Ovis aries: one gene and its partners. The protein of the gene in region 2 interacts with the protein of the main gene of each other region in a pairwise test. Links are inferred from orthologs where the notes say so. Each region holds a gene or a part of one and is shown on either strand. Other genes may lie near its edges. The genes, in order: PBLD, CCDC184 and PIN1.

Region 1 (5,907 bases), on a different chromosome or scaffold from region 2:
GTCTGCATATGGCAGACCCTAATCACAGACCAGTACAAGTGCTCATTATCTTTTCATGAAAGGATGAGCCTGGTCTCCCCAGTTAGAGTCCCTTGAGAGTTCTACAAGCTCCCCCTCTAATCTCCTTTGCATCCTGCCCCCCAGCTCTCTACCCTGCCAGTTTCTAGTCCAGTGTCTTACACACAGGAGACAGCAAATTGCTTTTTACCAACCACATCAGATTGCTAAGCAGCAGGTCTGACCCACAGGGTGAGAATTCAGATACCAGCTGGGCACCTAACTTGCAGAATACATAGGCGTGACAGTAAGGGAGATTTCCACCCTGAAAAGAACTTGGAAAGAGGCAGGATATCACATTACTTTCCATGTTTAATTTTATTATCACTCTATCACTCATTGTCACTCATTTAAAAAATTTCTGGGCATTTAGTTATTTAGCTACACGTCTTGATTTTTAGGTATTAAACGTAAGCACATTCCAATAAAGGAAATAATTTTTTAGGTACATTAAAATTACTCCAACCTTACCATTCACACATAAACTCTTACTTTTCTATCTTCATGATCCATTCTTGTCCATATAAATTCCTATTCTCCACAGACATAGCATAACATTGCTAACATTTAATAGTCTACTATAATTTTCTTTCTTAGTATTATACTACGAACTATTTTTCTATATTTCCACATAGCTATTGGGTCTTTTTGATGGCTGCAAAACAGTCTATCAGGTACTCACATCTGAGTTTAAATGATTTAATCTTACTCTTCATAAATGTGTTCCTCATTCTGTGATTGGTGGTCACAATTAAAGGTGACAACATTATTCTTTGATATGGGTTACTTCGAATATGTTCACAGGTAGAACCAAAACTCCTTTAGTTAATTCATCAGGAAGCATTATTAAATCCCCATTAATATGTCTTCATTGTTCTATTTCTCAGGTGAGGATTAAGTGAACTACAATGCAATCTTATTCAAAGCAGTCTCTTACATTTCTTTTTATGCAGAAAATACTCAGTAATTCAAGACTGTGTCACCGCAGTGCAAGCAGTCTAGGCCATCAGAGTGCCCTCTAAAACAAGAGCCGTGCCTCCCTTGATGTCAACTCGTCCATCAGAACGCAGGGAAATTATCAGTTCTCCTCCTCGGTTGGAACACTGAAAGGCTAAAGAAAACATAAAACAAGTCACAAATCAAGATCATTTTCACCCCTTTAATTAATAAGACATAGTGAAAGACTGATTATTACGAGCTCTACAATCCTCCCAGGTCAATTTAAAGAATACATTCTTTCAAACAAATGAAAACAAAATAAATGAACAAACCAAACACAAACACATAGACACAGAGAACAGAGAGTGGTTACCAGAAGGGGAGGGGCAGAGTGATATGGGAGGGATCAAAATGCATAAAGGAGATCAACTGCATGGTGAAGGATAGAAAATAAATTTTTGATAGTGAGCACACTGTAGGATGTATAGAAGCAGAAATACAATGTACATGAGAAACTTATTTAATGTAATAAATTAACGTTCTCAATAAAAACTTATTAACTAATTTTTTAAAGAATGCATTCCTTCATCTGTTCATAATATTGCCTAGCCCACCCGATTCTCCTGAGGACTGAGGCCACAAACGCAATTTGATACACAAAGCACACAGCTCTACATCTTCCCTTCCTGAGCTACTTCCTCTACTACTTCCTGTAATGCCCCAGACACACCCTAAATGTAGCTTCCTCCCTGGCTCCATCTAGGTCTAGGAGTAAGCAAGCACAAGTGAAAAGATAGAGCCTAGGACTAAAAAGCTAAAAAGATAAAGAGGGGGTGCTCTTGGGCCCTTCAGAGAAGGCCCCATCTTTCGTCTTTGGTCTTTTGAGGTCTGGAAAGGACAAAAGGAGTTCCCTATTCATTGTGGATAGCAAGCAACCACACTTGTCAAGCAAACGTGAAGTACAGCCTCAGGTTTCTTGAGTTTAGGGAAATAATTAGGCTCACAATGGAAAGAGAACAGCCACCCTGCTATTCCCAAATCAGGGTCACAGATGCTTAACCATCCCACTAAGTAAGAACTTCTGTCCACTAAGGTCAAAATTCTACTTTGATTGTGTAGCCTGTTCTGCATGTGGTACTAGCTGTGTAACCTCCACTGGCTACCATCTATTTCTCTGTCCTGAGCAATATATTAATCACTAGGAGACTTGGTTCCAAGGCAATTTGTTTTATTTAATCCCATAATGGGACCCTGGTAATCATCCAATCTCAACTCATCACCTTATAAAGAACCTTTCTGGGCCAAAATTACACAGCTAGTTAACTTTATTCAGCAAATACTTACTTGGCACTTAACTGTATTAGAAGTGTGTCTGTGCTTTGGGAGAAACAGAGGTGGAAGATGTTTGGGGTGGAGGATGTTGAGCAGAAGATTCAGGGTGAAGGAATTCAAAACCTTTAGTTTTCATGTGGGTAATAGTTAACTTTTTTTTTTGATAGTTAACATTTTATTACATCTTCAGGTGGATAGTATATATAAGAAGGAATACTAGCTTAAAGTTTAGCAGGTTTTTTTTTTTTAATTTGAAAAAGAACTGTCCTACCGTGCAAGTCTTTCTTCCCCAGTTGCTCAGACCAGTAGCTACTGAGAACAGTATGTGCAGACCCTTAAAAGAAGTGAAAAGCTATGTTACAATCCCAAAGAAAACGGGAGCAACTCTGCTAAATTCATAAAGGATCAACTATCCAGTTTGACTGAACCTTAGACAACTTAGTCATTATGTTGGCCATGACTTCAGCAAAGTGTGGAATTATGAATGGAAATAGAAAGGAAGACATAGAATTTATGGATAAGCTTCTTCAAAAGACATATCTGCTGCATCTTACACTTTCTGAAGGCTGAATTAAACTGCAGGCTTTAATTCTTGTCAATTCCTTGTCAGTCCATGGCAGGAGAATTAAGGCTTTCGTATAAATCTGTCTACATCTATCAAGGAAAAACATATCCTTCCTCCTAAGACGCACATGCAAGGAAGGGTGGGAACTCTGACAAAAGACCAAAATTTCCATGAAGCCAACGTTCCCAGTTTTTTGGTGCCAAAAGAGCTTTGTTTTAGTGAGATACTTTTTCACATGATTGTGCCCTAGGTGTAGATCAGAGAATAAATACTAAAAAGAAGAAACAAACTGCTAAGTAACAACTGATAGGAAAGTATTTGGGAGAGGAAAAGATGGTTTGAAAAAGGTTTCTCCTTCAGAAAAATGTACTAAATACTATGGGACAGGGTGCCCAGGCATCCCAGTATGCCTGAGGCTGTCCTGGTTTCATCACTGAAGATCCCTACTCTGAGAAGTCCTTCAGTCTCAAGCAAACCGAGACTGTTGGCCATCACTGTCCAAAGAGCTTTCCCACTCTAGAAAAGCATGATTCCAGGGGGGAAAAAACCTTCCCTCCATGAAAATTAAAATCTTTGGGAAGCAGCCAAGCATGTGTAAATCCACTCATAACTTCTTATCCATCAGCTTCCTCCAAAAAGCATTCCACACCTTTCACTGCTCAGCCCACTTTTATTAAGGAGGATGAAAGTAGGAAGCATCACATTCTTGCCGACTTTTTATTTCAACTCTCTGCTTCTGGCTTATGGAAGATCCTAAATTCCTACGTTCCTGAACCCATTCCACTCACTGAGTGAGCAGGTCTGGCAAAGGACGAGGGGAGGAAGAAAAACACTATTCCTGTCCCTGTTTCCCACCTGCAGTCCAGGACTTGGTCCTTCAAAACCCAAATCAGTCAATTATCACACAGGCTGGCCAATGAAAAGGACAAAGGACTTTGGGAATATAGTAGACATTGGCCACTGGATTTTGCAACAGGTAGCTCTAGAAGTGTTGGCTCAAGGAGCCAGTTTTATTGTTAGTTATTAAAATACCTAACAGCTATTGGGCACTAACCATGTACTGTGCTCATTATGTTCTGTGTTTAACATGCATCGTGTTTACATAGCCTATAAGGTATTATCCATATTTTATAGAGAGGGAACAAAAGCTGTGAAAAGTTAAGTCATTTACCCAAGGTCAACAGCTAGGAAGCTAGGACGCAAAGCCAGCCTGTCTGATGCTAAAATTAAACCTTGCTATATACTGCCTCATTAACACTGTGTTTTTTACAAGAGACTTCAGTGAAGGGATGGGGAAGGGAGATAGGGAAACAAAGGCAACTCAAAACCCAAACAACCTGAAAGCTCATTGTGGAGGGCACTTAAACAGTTCTCCTCCTCCTCAACTGTTTAGCTTTCCTCAGGATTCAAGGCAAAAAGTACCTGTTACGGGGTCTTCAGCCACACCGTACCATGGAGCAAAATATCTGGAGTAAAAGTCAAATGCTTGAGTCTGCCCACCAGGCTCTCCCTTGAGGGTGAGAATGAGTCCTTTCACCTTCCCTGTGGTTTCCACTTGCAGCAAATTCTCTGTGTTCACTGTTAGGCTCTCCAGAAATGACCTTGTTCATAAACAGGATGGATTAGGACAAACCCATTCCACAGACTACCCATTCCCCAGACTCCGTAAAGCAGGCCAGGCTACAGCTTGTTCAATGGCTCAGCAGTAAGTGAGGAAGAGCAACTACAACCTTCCTGCACAGGAACAGATCACTCTGGCTGTGTAGATCATGGTTCAGCTGAACATGGCACAGCCAGATCAAGCCAGAGCTATGAATCTGGTGCCCTCCCCCACAGTACTGACGAAGTCAAAAATCTCATTTACCTGTTGTAAGTATCACTGAGCCGGACCAGGAGCTTTTTGGTATCTGGGGAATAGCAAACATCCTGAACCAGCGTGTCACCAATGGCAGTCTATGGAGACAGACCAAAACTTCCTCAGAAGTGCATCTTGGGTCAAGTCCTTGGAGAACGATCTCTCACAAACATCTGCTTTGTGCCAGGCACACCCAACATCTCCAGTCCCAAGAGTTTCAGGTCAGTTTTAGGATTCAAGGTATTTCTCAAAGAAGGCCAATTTCCTGGTGTTCAGGAACACTTGGACCTTAATAGGGGTTGAGTTTAGCCTCTGAGAGCCAAAGAGAGGCCTTGTTCATACATGTCACTATGAGACTCGACACACAACTCCTTCAATTGGGTATTTTCCCCACAGATAAAAAGATTCAGGGAGGCCCAGAATATCTCTCTCACATACATACACTTTGACCCAGGACTGAGGAGCCCTGAAGTCAAAGCTCTGAATCACTACTGTCTACCATCTGTAGAGGTGGGGGCTTTATGCCTGCTTCTTAGAGGATTAAATGAAATAACATGCAGAGTTCCTGTAGCTACAGTGGTAACTGGATGATTCTACACAAGAAGGACTCGGGGCCAGCAGTATGATTGGAAGTGGGGACTAGGGCACTCGTATCAATGCTGCTCTGCTTGGCAAGCTTGCTGTTTTCACTTAGACTGTACACTACAGATCAAGAACATAGTAACATTGTCCAAAGACACCCTGGTTCACCCTTTACCGAAGACTGCATATAACCATGCTCACACCTGAGACATAGTATGTTTGTTTGTTTATTGGTTTGCAGTGCTGAGGGAGGTTGTGAGGGGACAAAAACACCTCCAAGTCATCCTTAGGCACCACAACTAGCTGCCGCCAGAACAGACTAGAGTTACGTGGTAGTTGTCTGATTGTCACTAGGTGGTTTTAAGTTCTCTAATCTTCTTTAGGGGCTGAGAAGCTCTAGGTTCCATGGCCAAGACGCTGCTGTGGGTAGTGCCTGGAAGGTCTGCCTCTGTGACCACTGCTGACCAATGTCTCCCTTCTAGATATGGGAACTCCTACAGCCCAATCCCATCTGTTCTCTGGGCCTCCCAATCTCTCTGAAGGGTCATCCAACCCTTCTCTGCATGGATTCTTATGT
Region 2 (7,139 bases):
ATTTTAGAATTAAATTGAAATAATAGATCTCTCTAGAGACTATACATACACAATTTTGCATTCAATTTCAAGGGGTTGGGGTGCCCTGAGATTCAACAGTGACCCCATGCATGAGTCCCAGGTTAGAAATCTCATGTGAAACTGATTCATCAGATGCATTATAAGGAAGAAATGCCAGAGGAGAGTGGGGAGTCTGAAGAAGGGGGGAAGGAGGTGGGAGAGAAACCCGTGCTGTGTCCCTCTGGGATGTTGGTGCAGGTCACTGAAGACAGTTGAAGAACTGCTTTTTCTGTGGAGATTTTTACCTATTTGGACTTGAGAGGAATTGCTAGAGACATTCTGGGGGCCCTGGGCTAAGGGACTGATGACACATTTTGGATAGTAGGCATAGGAAGAATTGAATTGGCGTCAACGGTTAAAGGGTTCAACCAGACCATTCTACAGGTGCTGAAGGGCTAAGGTGCCTTGAGATTCACGTCGTACTCTGCAGAATCTAAGCTACAGACAACAGGGAAGAGGCATAAGAATGGGGCTGTGTCAGGGAATATCTGGGAACATCAGCTTCTTCCTCTAAAGAAGCATGTGCAGAAGGCCATCTTCTCTGTGCCATTATTGTATTATCACCCACTAGACTCTGAAAGGTCACTAACCAAAACCAGATCAGGAATTACTTGTTCCAACTGAGAAGATGAAAACTGAGTGAAACTAACATTACTTCCTTTTCAGGACTCTTAAGACTCTTGACTGAGGACATAAAGGATTCCTTTCTCTGAAGATGAAATAGAGCAATTAGTGGAGTGGGTTCCCATCTAGGGTTAAGTCAGAAGATCTGGGTTTAAGTCCTGGTTATGCAAAGTACTAGCTGTATGACCTTGACTAAGTCTTGGAGTCTATTTCTAGAACTGTTAAGTGAAAATAATAATAGTGCCTACTTCATATGGTCATTGGGATATAAAATTGGGCACAATGTCTGGCACAGAGTAAGTGTTCAATATATGATGGCTATCATTGTTTTTGGTGCTGAATGCTGGAACTGTAACAGAAAACTATCTTCCAGCCCTCAGGGACACTTCCTCACTAATATATTTTAGCTGCCCTCTCTAAGCCCCAGCACATATTCCCTAACCACTGCACAACTCAAGCCATCCTCTGGTCATCCTATGTGTACAAAAGCTGGCTTTAAGACCTTTTTGACCCATAATTACAGGATATTTATGAAGAAAGGCCATGTAAGCTTGGGAATCTCATCATCCCCTTGACTGCCCTGAATGATAAGAATTCTTTAGGTAGGGAAGGATTATATTAAACTAGAACCTTCCCTAAATAACTGTGTTTTCCCAGAGGAGCCAGTCAACACCATCACCCCCTACCCCAAGAGAGCTATAAGAAAACTAACATTTGCATAAGATTTCTCAGATGTCTTATTATCTTTCTCAAAAATTTTTGTCCCCATTTTACACAGACAGAAACTGAGTCTCAAGCAAGGAACCAAGTCTCAAGCAGTCATTTACTGTTGGATCTGAGATTCATTGCCAGTGCCCTTTCCACATCTCTGTAGCAACCAGCTGCAGAAACACACATACATATATACACATATCTACATGCATACATACACACATTTGTAGGTACAAGCATACACACACACACACACACACACACACACACACACACACACACACACACAGCACCCCAGCTCATTATTCTCCCAAATTTTGTTTGAAGCAGCCTTAGGAAGTCTCCAGTGCCCAAGGGAGCAGACTAGAGCTGATGTCAGGCTAAGCTCCCGGGGGGACACCTTACCGGAGTTCTCCACTAGAGGCCTGAGGCAGTTTTTGTGGTTCCCTTTGTGATGTGTCACTCTGCCAGAGATCCCAGGCAATCCCTCCTGAACAATGCCCCCTCCCTACCCCTCCCATGAAACAGGTGTCTTGCCTACCATTTCAGGACTCCACTTTGGAAATCATCTCCTGCGAACCAGGTGCTCCACTGAAAAGTCTCCTGCACATCTGGAGTTCTGGCTACTAAAAAACCCTTGTTTGGGAATCGCAACATGTACCCTCTCCTTCCTCAGTCCAGCTTGAGGTCAAGGTCCAGGGCGGAAGTGACAGCAGGTAAAAATGGCAATGCATACCCCAGTCAGGGCAGGGACAATCAACTCCTTGGAACCAGAGGCAAGAAGAGAGGAGGGAAGGCATGGTCCCTGTAGTTCCCACTAAGCCTGTGTCCATGCAGTGGGTCCAGAAGCCCCACCCTGCCATTGCCCTAGTACCAGTCAGCAAGGAGGGGAGATGACGCCTCTTTATTAAGGTTAACACCAAGGAAAGCATTGAGAAGGAATACACAGAGGAAGAGGAAGGGCACACAAAGTCACCACTTGAGGAGGTGGGAGGGAGGCATATCAGTTAGGAACCTCAGGACAGCCACATGCTTCATGCCCTGGTTGTGGGGGAAAAGAGAGGAGAGGGGAAAGCATCATGAGAGCCTGGGGCTCACAGAAGGTCTGAAGCCCCCTGAACCTAACACCAGAGCCACAAGCCCTGCCCCTCAGGGCTCACACACTACTACACAGGTCAACACACATAATGCACACAAGACATTATGGAGGCAACACCGAGAGTCAGCGGGCAGGGAAGTATTGACAGGAAAAGGAACTGAAGTTAAGCAGGTATAGCCAGCAGAGAGACAGTTTTCGGCTGTGGCCCCCAAGAGTCCCTCAAATGTCCCCTAAATCTGGGCTGTTGCTGAGCACCACCCCCAAGTCTCTGCCTGTGAACTGGGCTCTTTGTTCTCTAAGCCCCAGTGAGTGGATAAAGCAATCCCAGATGAAGTCAGTGACAAGGCAGATCCGCTCTGCATGCAAAATCCTAGAGGTTGAGCTATAATGTCTTCATGCACATTCAGAGCCAGCTCCTCCCAGCCCAGGGGCCCTCGGAACCCCATTCACCCAGATTCCTAGGGCTGCAGTTCCCTCCTCAAGCTTCTTTTACCAATCAGCAGCCGCAGAGGTCTGTGAGGGGGAGAGGCTTCTGCAGAACGCTGAATAGCTTGGATTTCATCAGAAGGGTAAATTTTCTGTTGCCAGAACAGAATACCCTCAATTCCTTAATTTCTAGGTAAATCGTTAGAGATTTTTTGCCATAGTCCTAGATAAGTCCTTTTTCAGAATAGAAAAAGCAGAATTTTATTTACACAAGTCAGGGGTTCTCCTGTTGGCTGGGGCGGGGGAAAGGGCAGGGTAGGGGATTGGATGGGAGTCCAGAGGTGGGCGCTTCCTCTCCCGGAACCTCACCTTTCCGCAGTTTGCTACTTCTTGCTTGGTGAGGCAGAAAGAATTCTTGATGCTCCCAAAGTCCTTCACCCTGTAAATGCTTCCTCAAGGAAGTCTCTTCTGCCTGACCCACAAGAGCAGCGGTCGGAGTGAAGCACGCGCTGCATCGCGCCGTTCAGTCCCCTCATGCACTCGGAAACCCAAAGTCAGCCCGGGAAAGTAGTGCCCCCTCGGAGTCCCCTCACAGAGAGGCCTCGCCCTCCAGCTGCAGCAGGGTAATGTCGGGCAGATCGAGGGGCTCCACAAGTGGCCCGTCCCCCCCCAGAAGGCCAGCACAGGGGCTCTCCGGGCGCTCACAGTGACTTGTGGGTGTGGCGGAGCTGGGCATCTCCTTTTCTTCTTCATCGTCGTCCTCCTCGTCCTCTGGATCGCGACCCAGCAAACCGCTGCCCCCGATCCCAGGCGAAGGGGTCTCCGGATCTCGGCGAGCGCCCTGGAAGTTCCCCTTGCTGCCGACCACGCCCAGGCCACCCTGGCGGGGCGCGGTGGTCATAATCTGGCACATGGAGACGATGGCTCGCTGGTTGGCGCACACGTCGTCCGAGAGCACCTGGATGTGCGAGGCCTGCTCGTCCAGGGCCCCCCGCATGGCCCTCACGTCCTCAAACAGGGCCTGCAGCTGGGCCTTCAGGTGCTCCATCAGTTCCTTCATGCCGCCGTTGTACTCCCCGGAGATCACGTCCCCCACGGCCGGCACGGTGGACACCTCGAGAGGGGCCGGCATATCGCCGCCGTCCTTGGTCATGATCTCCAGCAGACCTTCCTCCATTGAATGGCAGAAGCGGGCGGTGGCGGCTCGGGGTCCGGTCCAGCCCGGCCTCGGGGTGGGGGAAGGTACGGGGAGGGGGAGAGGTGCCCGGAGGGGGTGGGAGGAGCCGAGGGAAGAGGAGGCTCCAGACAGGGGTGGAGAGGTGAGTCCCGGGCGGGGGGTGCCGGCAGAATCTGGAGAGGCCGGGAAGAGACGGCGGAACAAGGACCGGGCTACAGTCCCAGGGCCGGCGTCTCTCCGGCTCGCCCCGGGGCGAAAGCGCCCTGCCCTGCCTCGACTCCTGAATTGCACCCGTGTCAGCGCCTCCCTCTGGGCGCCAAGAGCGTCAAGTGCCCGCCGGTTCCCTGGGTCACAGGAGCGCTCGCACAGGGGCCCAGGTTGAGGCCGAGGCCAGCAGCGGGTCGACCTCGGGACTCCCCTCGGCCGCTAACTGGGAGCGCTCGCGAGTGTGGTTGGAAGTGACAGGGGCGGGTCTCCCAGCGGCGCCGCGGATGCTCCTCTGTTTCCAAGGCGACGCACTGCACGTAAAAGACGTGTGTCTCCATGGCAACCAGGAAGTGGAGCAGAAAAGGGAGGACAGCTGGGAAGCTGCAGTGGGGCTCTGGATTCTGAGCTTGCGGTTGGAGCGGGAGGGGAGGGGACGCTGCAGTGGCCTCAGCTGAGGCTGAAAGAACGTGTGGCCGCAATGTTTAATAGGGAAGCATGAGAGAGCAGTTTGCTGCATAAATCCCCAGGTCGGGGAGACATCGTCCCTCCTCTACTCTGGGTAGTAGTCACCGAGCGAGACTACCTTGGAAGGATTTTCACCTGCCCGCATTCCTTCCTCTGAGAATGGCGTTACAGCCGAGTCCTGCTTCTCTAACCTCCTGCAGGAAAGCAGAGAGGGTAGAGAGGCCGATGCTATTACCCAGACTTGAGCTGGGATGCGCGGGCGCCCTAGAGCGGGCCCCGCCCGGCCTTCGCGGTGCAGATGCGCAAGAGGGCACTACGGAGGTTTCCGTCACTCCCTTCTGCTTCTGCAGTAAATCAGCCCTCGCTGTCGATAAGATGGTATCGAAGCCGAGAAAAGATGGAATTCCCTCCCATAATAGACCCAATCGCTCCTACCCAGGGCACTGGGGGTTCTTTCAGGACGGTGAGGCAAAGTGCTTCAGTTTTGAGAAAGAAAGCTCCGTAAGAATAGAGATTTTTGTCTCCTCCGTGTCCTCCAGCACGGAATCCCCAGCACTTAAAATAGAACCTGGCGCATAGTAAGTAAATGCTCAGTACATTTGTTGAATGAATGCTTTAACAAGGACCACTGTGTCCCATTCCCTTGTCCAGAACTCTCCAGCTCACAGGTAGTGGCTTTTAGGAGGCCTGAATTCAATTTTGTTTCGGCCATTTATTAGTTCAGAGACCTTGAATAAATCGTTTTTCTCATCTGTTAGTGGATCGGACTGTATAATATTTGGTAATATTATTTCTGACTCTGAGGAACACTGCGTCCGCTCCCAGTTGAAAGGGTAAACTGTCGACAACGTGTGGAACGGATGGCGGGAAGGCCCGGTGGTGTGGGGGGATTATGTAAGGGTAATTTCCCTGTCCCCAGGCCCAGCGTCCAGGTACAGACATGCAGTGAGTGTTTCAACCTTTGTGACAACTCCTTTCTCTTTTTGAGGAGTGGAGTGGGAAAGGAGGAGGAGGAAGAAAAGTTGAATTTAATATATTTACAGATGACTTCAGATTGAAAAGCAAACAGTACCTGGGCAGCAGCATACTAATAATGACCTTAATAAATTGGAGAAGCCAAGTGATCAGAAACCACAAATGAAGTTCACAAGAAGAAATAAATGTGGGGAAGAGAAATGATGTAACACTTCAAGATGGGGACGAGCTGGTTTTGGGTGAGTGTTTTGTATACTGGTGGTTCAGTGATAGCTGATGCGTTACTTTGAGGTTTCCCTTGTTGCATACTCTCCTGATGAGGGGTGGGGCTGGCCCAGAGAAACTTTGCTGGCACTAAAGAACTTTTCGACTTATTCCTTGTCTTACTGCTATTAAAATAGAAATAAGTTAACAAATAAGAAGAAGCGGGCAAATATCCTAAACAGTAGAATGTTTAAGGCATTGTTAGTATAATAAAGTATTATATAACCCTTAAAATTTTGATATTCCAAAACAAATGTATGAACAAATTTTAAAAACCTATTTATGTTCTATATATTGTATTTTCTATGATTCAATCTTATTTGCTTGCTCATTCTGTCTTTCTTTCATTCCACAAACTTATGACTCTCACCTTGGTTATCATCCCCACCTCTACCATGTGCCCCTCAGGGTATTCTTAAAGCTGAGAAGAAGACAGAAATGCTTTTCCTTGGTTTCCCTAAGCACAGCCAAAGTGCACTGTTATCCCCAAAAACAGACTTTACCAAAAAGGAACTGTAGGAAAGCTAGAAATATACAAGACATACAAAAACAACAACTGAGCTTCCACAGCATGAGTTTCTGATCGTACTCTAGCAAGCATATTTTTAGGGCTTATGGGTTCAACCCTGTGAATGTGTGTTAGTCGCTCAGTCATGTCCAACTCTTTGCAACCCCATAGACTGTAGCCTGCAAGGTTCCTCTGTCTATGGGATTCTCCAGGCAAGAATACTGGAGTGGGTTGCCATTTCCTTCTCCAGGGTCCAACCCTGCTGTTCATCTTTCCCTGGAGGCCTTTGCTATAGTCAGAAAAAAAAAAAAAAAAACCTGGCATGATTTTCAAATTTTTGCCTAGATCTGTTGCCTCACATCTCTTGACCAGCACTTCATATGGATGATTTCACCTTGCTAGCTCCCTCACTCTTCAGAGAGGTCCTTGCTTTCTACCTACAAAGACTAGCCCTGTCCCCAATACAGGGCCTTGCGCATTAGCCTTAACCTTACATTAAATACAGTCCCCATACAGTAGGACCTGGGTTATGCCATCATACAAGGCCCTTTGCCACTATTGTTGAGGATGCCATATATGTCAAGGCTTTCAGCATAAGATTACATCATGCTGCCCAGAGCCGC
Region 3 (7,139 bases), on a different chromosome or scaffold from region 2:
CACAAAGAGTCGGACACAACTGAGCGACTAACAATTTTTTTTCTTCACCCTATGTGGTGGGTCCTATTATCTTAACACTAACTTTGTAAGTTAAAAGACTGAGGCTGAGATGTTAAGTAGCTTGCTCAAGGTCACACAGCCAGGACCTGGTAGAACTGGATAGGCACTCAGGCTGTTTGGGCAGGGGTGAGGCACTGGTTCTGTGGGGTTGGAGGGCCTGGGAGGTGTCTGGGATCTCTGGTGAGAGAGGCTGCGTGGATGATGAAACCACACTTGTGATCCAGACCAGCACTGTCCAACAGAACTTCCTGCAAGGATGGAAATATTCTCCAGTTGTGCTGTCCAAAATGGCAGCCTATAACCAAGTGGGACTACTGAACAGTGTAGCTGGTGTGACTGAGGAACCAATCTTTAATATGACTTAAACTGAACTAATTTACATGAAAATAACCACATGTAGATAGAAGCGGCCACACTAGATAGCTCTAGACCAGGAGGCTGAGGACTACAGCCCTGGGGTCAAATCCTGCTGTTTCTGTAAATAAAGTTTTATTGACACATGACCACGCCCATTTGTTTACACATCACCTGCAGCTGCTATGGAGTTGCCAAGCAGAACTGACAGAGACTGTACAGCCCACAAAACCTAAACTATTTACCATCTGGCCTTTCAAGAAAAAGTCTGCCTACCAACTGCTGCTCTAGACTGCGGAGCAAACACAGAACTTAGCGACGAACAGCCTGCTCAGAGCCAAATTAATTCACTGACTCTGTTGTCTAGTTCTAACACTGCTACCTTTCCAACCTCCCTCCTGACCCATCCACATACGTGCCCCAGGACCCTGCTTGATGACACTACTCTCCAGGATAGCTCCCACTGAATGACGACCCACACAGTGACAACTGTGTGCCACCCATTACACCATTTCATCTCACTGAGCTTTCACAATGGCCCATGAAGGCAAGGAGATGACGACGTCCATTTGACAGAGGTGAAAACCGAGTCTCAAGGAAGTGACGTGAATCTCTCAGGGTCAAGGAGCTCCTAGGGGCATAGTGACCATGTGAACCCAGGTCTGGCTGCCATAAGGCTGGGTCCTCTCCACCAACCTTGGCCCACTCTCACACACCAGCTGGGGAGGAAAATGAGAGGCAGCCATGGAAGCCAGGCTCATGCCACCAACAGGCACTTATAGGTCGGCCAAGGCCACAGCTGACAGCTAAGCTGGCTGGGGTGGAGCATCTCATGTGATTTCTGTAAAGCTTGCACTGCCCTTGGGGAGAGGGACTGCCCCCTTCCCCCAGGCCTGGTCTCCAACCCCAGCTCACCATTGATCAGCTCCAGGGCCTCCTCCTTGGTTCGGGTGATCTTCTCCTGCCGCCAGGACGAGGGTCGCCGTGACTGGCTGTGCTTGACCAGCAGGTGTGAGCAGCGGACCCTGGTGGGCTCCCCTTGTCCATTTTTGCCGCTGCCACTGCTGTTGCCACTTGGCCGCTCCCACTGGCTGGCATTAGTGATGTGATTGAAGTAGTACACCCGGCCTAGAAGGGGGGGTGGGGTACAGAATTCAGCTGGGACCTGCTCAGTGCATACCACCATCAAGCCATGATATGGAACTGGCCAACAAGATGCCTTCATTCAGCCAGCCCACTGCTGTCCACCAGTGTCACCAGGACTTAGGGAGCTAACCCTCTAGGTGGGAGGCAGACAGACAATAAACAAGCAAGTACGACCACATAATAACTTTGGTCATTAACAACTTCAAGGGGGGAAAATAATCCAAGATGAGGAAGAGAGGTTCAAAGCATGCACTCAGCAGCCAGACTCCCTGTTCAAATCTGCCACTCACTCCCTGTATGACTCCCTTCTCCGGGCCTCAGTTTTCTCACTTGTAAAATGGAAATAACAACAGTACTTGCCTGAATGGTTTTTGGAAGGACTGTATGAGTTCACATCTGTAACGAGTTTAGGACAGCACTTGACATATATTAACACATTATCGACTGGGGGATTTTTGCAAAAACTAACGCCTGTGGCTGGCGATTATAAATGAATGTTGAGACACTCCAGTCAGTAACATTTGGGTAACAAAAAACATACTAATACATCTCTGGTCAAACCGTGGGCTTCCCAGGTGGCACAGAGGTAAAGAATCTGCCTGCTAATGCAGGAAGCAAAAAAATCTTGGGTTTGATGATACTCTGGAAGAGGAAATGGCAACTCACTCCAGTATTCTTGCCTGGGAAATCCCATGGACAGAGGAGCCTGGTGGGATAGTCCATGGGGTCACAAAGAGTAGGACACGACTTGAGCATGCACATGTTACTGTGAGGCATCTGGTCAGCTACTAGTGCCTCCAAAACAAAGCAATGGGTGTTTATTCTGCTGCATAAACTGTACCCATGTGTGTCACACACAAAAGCTTTGTCCTTTTCCCCTACCCAGTTACAGAACTGGGGTCCAGCATTACTGGGGTCAGATGTTATCCAGACTAAAGAGCATGGAGTGAGGGCTGCCAACAAGAAGCTTGAAGTAGGACCCAGTAGAGATAGGGTGTCATTCCTGGAGCAGAGTCTGCCCGGGGTTACACGGAGGACTTGTCCAAACACCGTGAAGGGCTGGATGTCACCCTCAGGGAACACTGTCAGGATTGAACTGGGTTGAAATGGCTGGAGTGGGAGCCCCAAATTTGGCAGAGCATTGGCTTTACATTGTAGGTCACATCCATGGGTCAAGGCTGCAGGGTGGGGTGGGGGTTGGTGAGAGCTGAGCCACTGACTGCCTCAAAAACACTGGCAATGGGTTCCATCTCCCTGAACCTCAGTTTTCTCATTTGAAAAGTGGGGATGAGAGAATAAGGACATCAAACCTCCAGAGGGTTAATGTGGAGAGTGGATGGTGCTGTATGCAAAGTGCTCCTGATGTTCAAAAAATCAAATTATTACTGCGACAATGACTGCTAGGCTCTATGGAGAAAGAAGTGTGAAATACTGGAACCTGCATCTTGGTAGTTTGCAGCAAGAAGGGTAGGGGGCTCTGGAGTCAGAATGACTGGGTCCGAACCCAACCCCCACCCCCTGAAATCAATGACCTTGGGCGGGTTCCTTGCGTTTTCTGGCCTCAAGTTTCCCGATCTGCAAAACGGGGGTAACAATTACCTCTCTCCCAAAATTATGACCATTTAGAGAAAGCAAACACCCAAAATGCTTGGAACTATGCTTGGTCCTGAGATAAACGTTCCCTATTCTTGACATTATTATTGGGGAAAAGTCTTAAGTCGGGTTCCGGAGCACAAGGGCAGTTCTCAGGCAGAATACCACCGGCCGGATATCGCAAACTCAGAATATGGTGTGGATGGTAGCGAGCGTATTAGCAGAAGGAGGTTGTATATCCGAGGCCGAACAACACCCTATAGGGCCCCGCCCTGAGCATGATGTTGGGGTGTCCTCCCCAAGGGGTCCCCACCCTGGGACCAGCGGGTTGCACAGACGTTCCCTCAGGACTTCTGGTGCATTAGGCCGAACGAAAATGTCAGTCAGATCGGCAGGGCCAGGGCCATCGCCTGAGGGAGTGCCGCGGGATCACCATCCCCCTGCCACCCCGGGAGCACCCTGGAACTCCCCGGCCACGCCCCTTGCCTCAGTTTCCTCGGGATTCCCCTCTCCTCAGGCTCGCAGCCCCAACAGGGTGGGCCGGGGCCGTTACCCGGGGACGACGCGGAGGAGCCAGGACCCCACGGGAACCGAGCGGCGCTGCCGCGCTCGAGGGACAAGCTCGAGCCCTGCTTCTGCGGGCCCTCGCGGCCCCGTCCCAGCCCCGACCCCCGCGGCACCTGAGCTGCGGCTCATACGCTTCTCCCAGCCGGGCGGCAGCTTCTCCTCGTCCGCCATCTTCCCTCCTGCCGCAGAGGCCGCTCCGCCTCCGCCGCACCGCCTCTGCCGCCCGCGTCCGCCCATCGCTGCTGCCGATTGGCTGAGCCCGCCCCGCACGGGGTCTTGGCGACAGCACTCATTGGGCACCCTAACTGTCCGGACTGACTCTCTGGCTTCCTATTGAGCAAAGGCGGGGGTGGGCGGAGCCTCCCACCATTAATCTGGGCCCCGCCCCGGTCGGCCTCACCCAGGTCCCGCCCTCTTCCTTTCCTCGGCCGCTAAATGGTGGGAAAGGGACGCGAACTCGCCTTATCAACGCCCTCTGCTGAGCTTCCAAAAGTTCCGACCCCTCCTTTGCGTCCTTCGCCACAGAGCCCATCCGATTGGCTACTACTGTAGCAATTCCCGCCTTCCTAAACCATAGCCCGCGGGCTGAAGCCTCCCAGGCGGAAGTGTCTGGCCTGTGTGGAGGTAACCGCAGCGAAGGAAGTTCTTGAAAAAGGCGGTGCTGCCTTTGCTGTTGCCATAGCAACGCAGTTACCTTGGTGATGAACAGCTAAGAATCCAGAAGCCTATATTTGGCTCCTCCGTTCTCCCTCGTCCCACTTGTTTGCCCAAGATGTCCAAAGCTAGCCCACCTCCTTTTAATTTTTTGTGCAAAACTCCCTATTTTACTGACCCAAACACCTTCCATTTCCTTTGAAATCTACTTTACTTTACTAATTCCCTCCCAGTTTGGCTTCTGCCTCTGTCCTGGGTGACTCGTGGGTGTTGGCATTGCCATTCGGATGAGGACACGGTGGCTTTGTGGGTGGAAATCAGTGGGTGGAAGCGCGGGTGGGAGGATAATAGCTCAGTTTGAATCAAGTTGCTTTTAAAATTTATTTTTTATTGAAATATCAGTTGAATAAGTCAATTTAAAATGAAGGCTGTGGCACTAAACGGACATTGAAGAGGTGGTTGGAGACCTAGGGCTGTAGATTTACGTGGGAATCGGGACACCAACAGGGAAGAGTTCAACTAAAGTTCATCTATAGGAGGAGGAGAGTGAAAAAGCTAGTTTAAAATGCAACATTAAAAAAACTAAGATCATGGCATCTGGCCCCATCACTTCATGGCAAATAGATAAGGGGAAAGTGGAAACGGTGACAGATTTTATTTTCCAGGGCTCCAAAATCACTGTGGATGGTGAGTGCAGTGATGAAATTAAGACACTTGCTCCTTGAAAGGAAAGCTATGACAAACCTAGACAGGGTATTAAAAAGCAGAGACATCACTAAGCCGACAAAGGTCTGTATAGTCAAAGCTACAGTTTCTCCAGTAGTCATGTATGGACGTTGAGAGTTGGACAATAAGGAAGGCTGAGCGCCAAAGAACTGATGCTTTTGAATTGTGGTTCTGGGGAAGACTCAAGAGTCCCTTGGATTGCAAGGAGATCCAACCAGTCCATCCTAAAGGAAATCAGTCCTGAATATTCACTGGAAGGACTGATGCTGAAGTGAAGTTCCACCTGATGCCATCACTTTGACCACCTGATGTGAAGAGCCAACTCATTGGGAAAGACCCTGATGGTGGGAAAGATTGAGGGCAGAAGAAGAAGGTGACAGAAGATGAGATGGTGGGATGGCATCACTGGCTCCATGGACATGAGTTTAAACAAACTCCAGGAGATGGTGAAGGACAGGGAACCCTGGTGTGCTGCAGTCCATGGGATTGCAAAGAGTCGGACACGACTTAACAACTGAACAATATAGCATACAACCTTATGTAACTGTTAAAAAGAATGAGGCACAGTGACATGAAACACAGGGAAACATGTCTAGGACAAATTAGAGGCAGGATGCAGCTGAGAGTTAAAAGCACTCAGGAACCAGATTGCTTTGAGTTCAAAGCCTGGCTCTACCACTTGCTGTGACCTTAACAAATTACTTAACCTCTGTACTTCAGCTTCTCCATCTGCAAAATGAGAGGAAAAAACATGTCTCATGAATATCCTTGATGCAAAGATTAAATGAGTTCATCTATAGAAAGCATTCAAAAACAGTGTCTGGTCCATAGCAAGGGTAGGTATTGCTGGGTGAAAAAAAAAAAAAAAACCAAAACATAGTACAGCATAGCAATTATAGTATGTATGAAAGCATAATAAGAGACTTCCCTGGTGGTCCAGTGGCTAAGCCTTTGTACTCCCTAAGTAGGAGGCCTAGGTTCAATCCCTGGTCAGGGAACTAGATCCTACATACAACAACAAAGACCCAGTGCAGCCAAACAAATATATATTAAAAAAAAGAAAGCATAATAAAACCAAAAAGATCAACAAAAATTAACTTTGTATATTATCAGAGTATTATAATTAACTCAAACTGTATAAAAATAGTTGTATATCACTGAAAATTTCTGGATTTATCCAAATATGTTAATAACTAATACTGGTTGGTGATGCAGGTGAAGGAAGAAATGAGGAACTTAAGTTATAACATTCTGACTTTTTAAACAAGCATGTATTAGCATAATAATAATCATAATCTTTTTTTAAAGATAATTTTAGATTTAGGGCTGGACTGCAAAAGTAGTATAGTTCTCAAAGTCCTTTACCCAACCATGCCTTATATTAGCATCTTACATAACAGAATAGAGGTTGTCAACCAGGGGTGATATTGTTCCCCAGGGGACATATGGCAAGTTTAAGACATTTTTGGTTGTCACAAAAGGAGAGAGATGCTACTTGCATTTAGTGGGTGGAGGCTGAGGATGTTACTGAACATCCTGCAATGTACAGCCTCCACAACAAAGAATTATTCCCCCAAATGTTAACAGTGCCAAAACTGAGAATTTCTGCCACAGAATGATGACGAAAACTAAGAAATCAATATTGGTCCAATACAATTAACTAAACTATATTTTAAATAAAAGAATTTCCTGTTTCTCTAGTAATATCCTCCTCCAGGATGTGACCATTTCTAGGTCTTTCCTTGTCTTTCATGATCTCGATACTTTTGAAAAGTACAATGGCTTTCATTCTGATGTTTGGACATGATGATGTCTGTCCAATATTTTCTCATGATTTATTGAGGTTTGGACTTCCCTGGTAGCTGAAATGGTAAAGAATCCACCTGCAACGCGGGAGACCTGGGTTTGATCCCTGGGTTGGGAAGATCCCCTGGCAGAGGGCATGGCAACCCATTCCAGTATTCTTGCCTGGAGAATCCCCATGGACAGAGGTGCTTGGTTGGTTACAGTCCATGGGATCACAAAGAGTCAGACACAAC

The links.
Region 1: the proteins of CCDC184 (region 2) and PBLD interact in binary tests that used the Homo sapiens proteins (3 or more experiments, as listed by UniProt). The two-hybrid records come from large-scale screens. The link is inferred for Ovis aries from reciprocal best matches to the Homo sapiens genes CCDC184 and PBLD.
Region 3: the proteins of CCDC184 (region 2) and PIN1 interact in binary tests that used the Homo sapiens proteins (3 or more experiments, as listed by UniProt). The two-hybrid records come from large-scale screens. The link is inferred for Ovis aries from reciprocal best matches to the Homo sapiens genes CCDC184 and PIN1.

What each region holds. Positions count from the first base shown.
Region 1 is NC_056078.1:23,943,962-23,949,868, forward strand, and holds the end of PBLD (phenazine biosynthesis-like domain-containing protein), read right to left. Parts: intron 4,847-5,907; coding exon 4,758-4,846; intron 4,495-4,757; coding exon 4,316-4,494; intron 2,663-4,315; coding exon 2,600-2,662; intron 1,169-2,599; coding exon 1,056-1,168; 3' UTR 352-1,055; downstream 1-351.
Region 2 is NC_056056.1:138,403,586-138,410,724, forward strand, and holds CCDC184 (coiled-coil domain-containing protein 184), read right to left. Parts: upstream 4,561-7,139; 5' UTR 4,098-4,560; coding exon 3,510-4,097; 3' UTR 2,281-3,509; downstream 1-2,280.
Region 3 is NC_056058.1:12,282,661-12,289,799, reverse strand, and holds the start of PIN1 (peptidyl-prolyl cis-trans isomerase NIMA-interacting 1), read right to left. Parts: upstream 3,917-7,139; 5' UTR 3,892-3,916; coding exon 3,834-3,891; intron 1,543-3,833; coding exon 1,330-1,542; intron 1-1,329. UniProt on the Homo sapiens protein: Peptidyl-prolyl cis/trans isomerase (PPIase) that binds to and isomerizes specific phosphorylated Ser/Thr-Pro (pSer/Thr-Pro) motifs.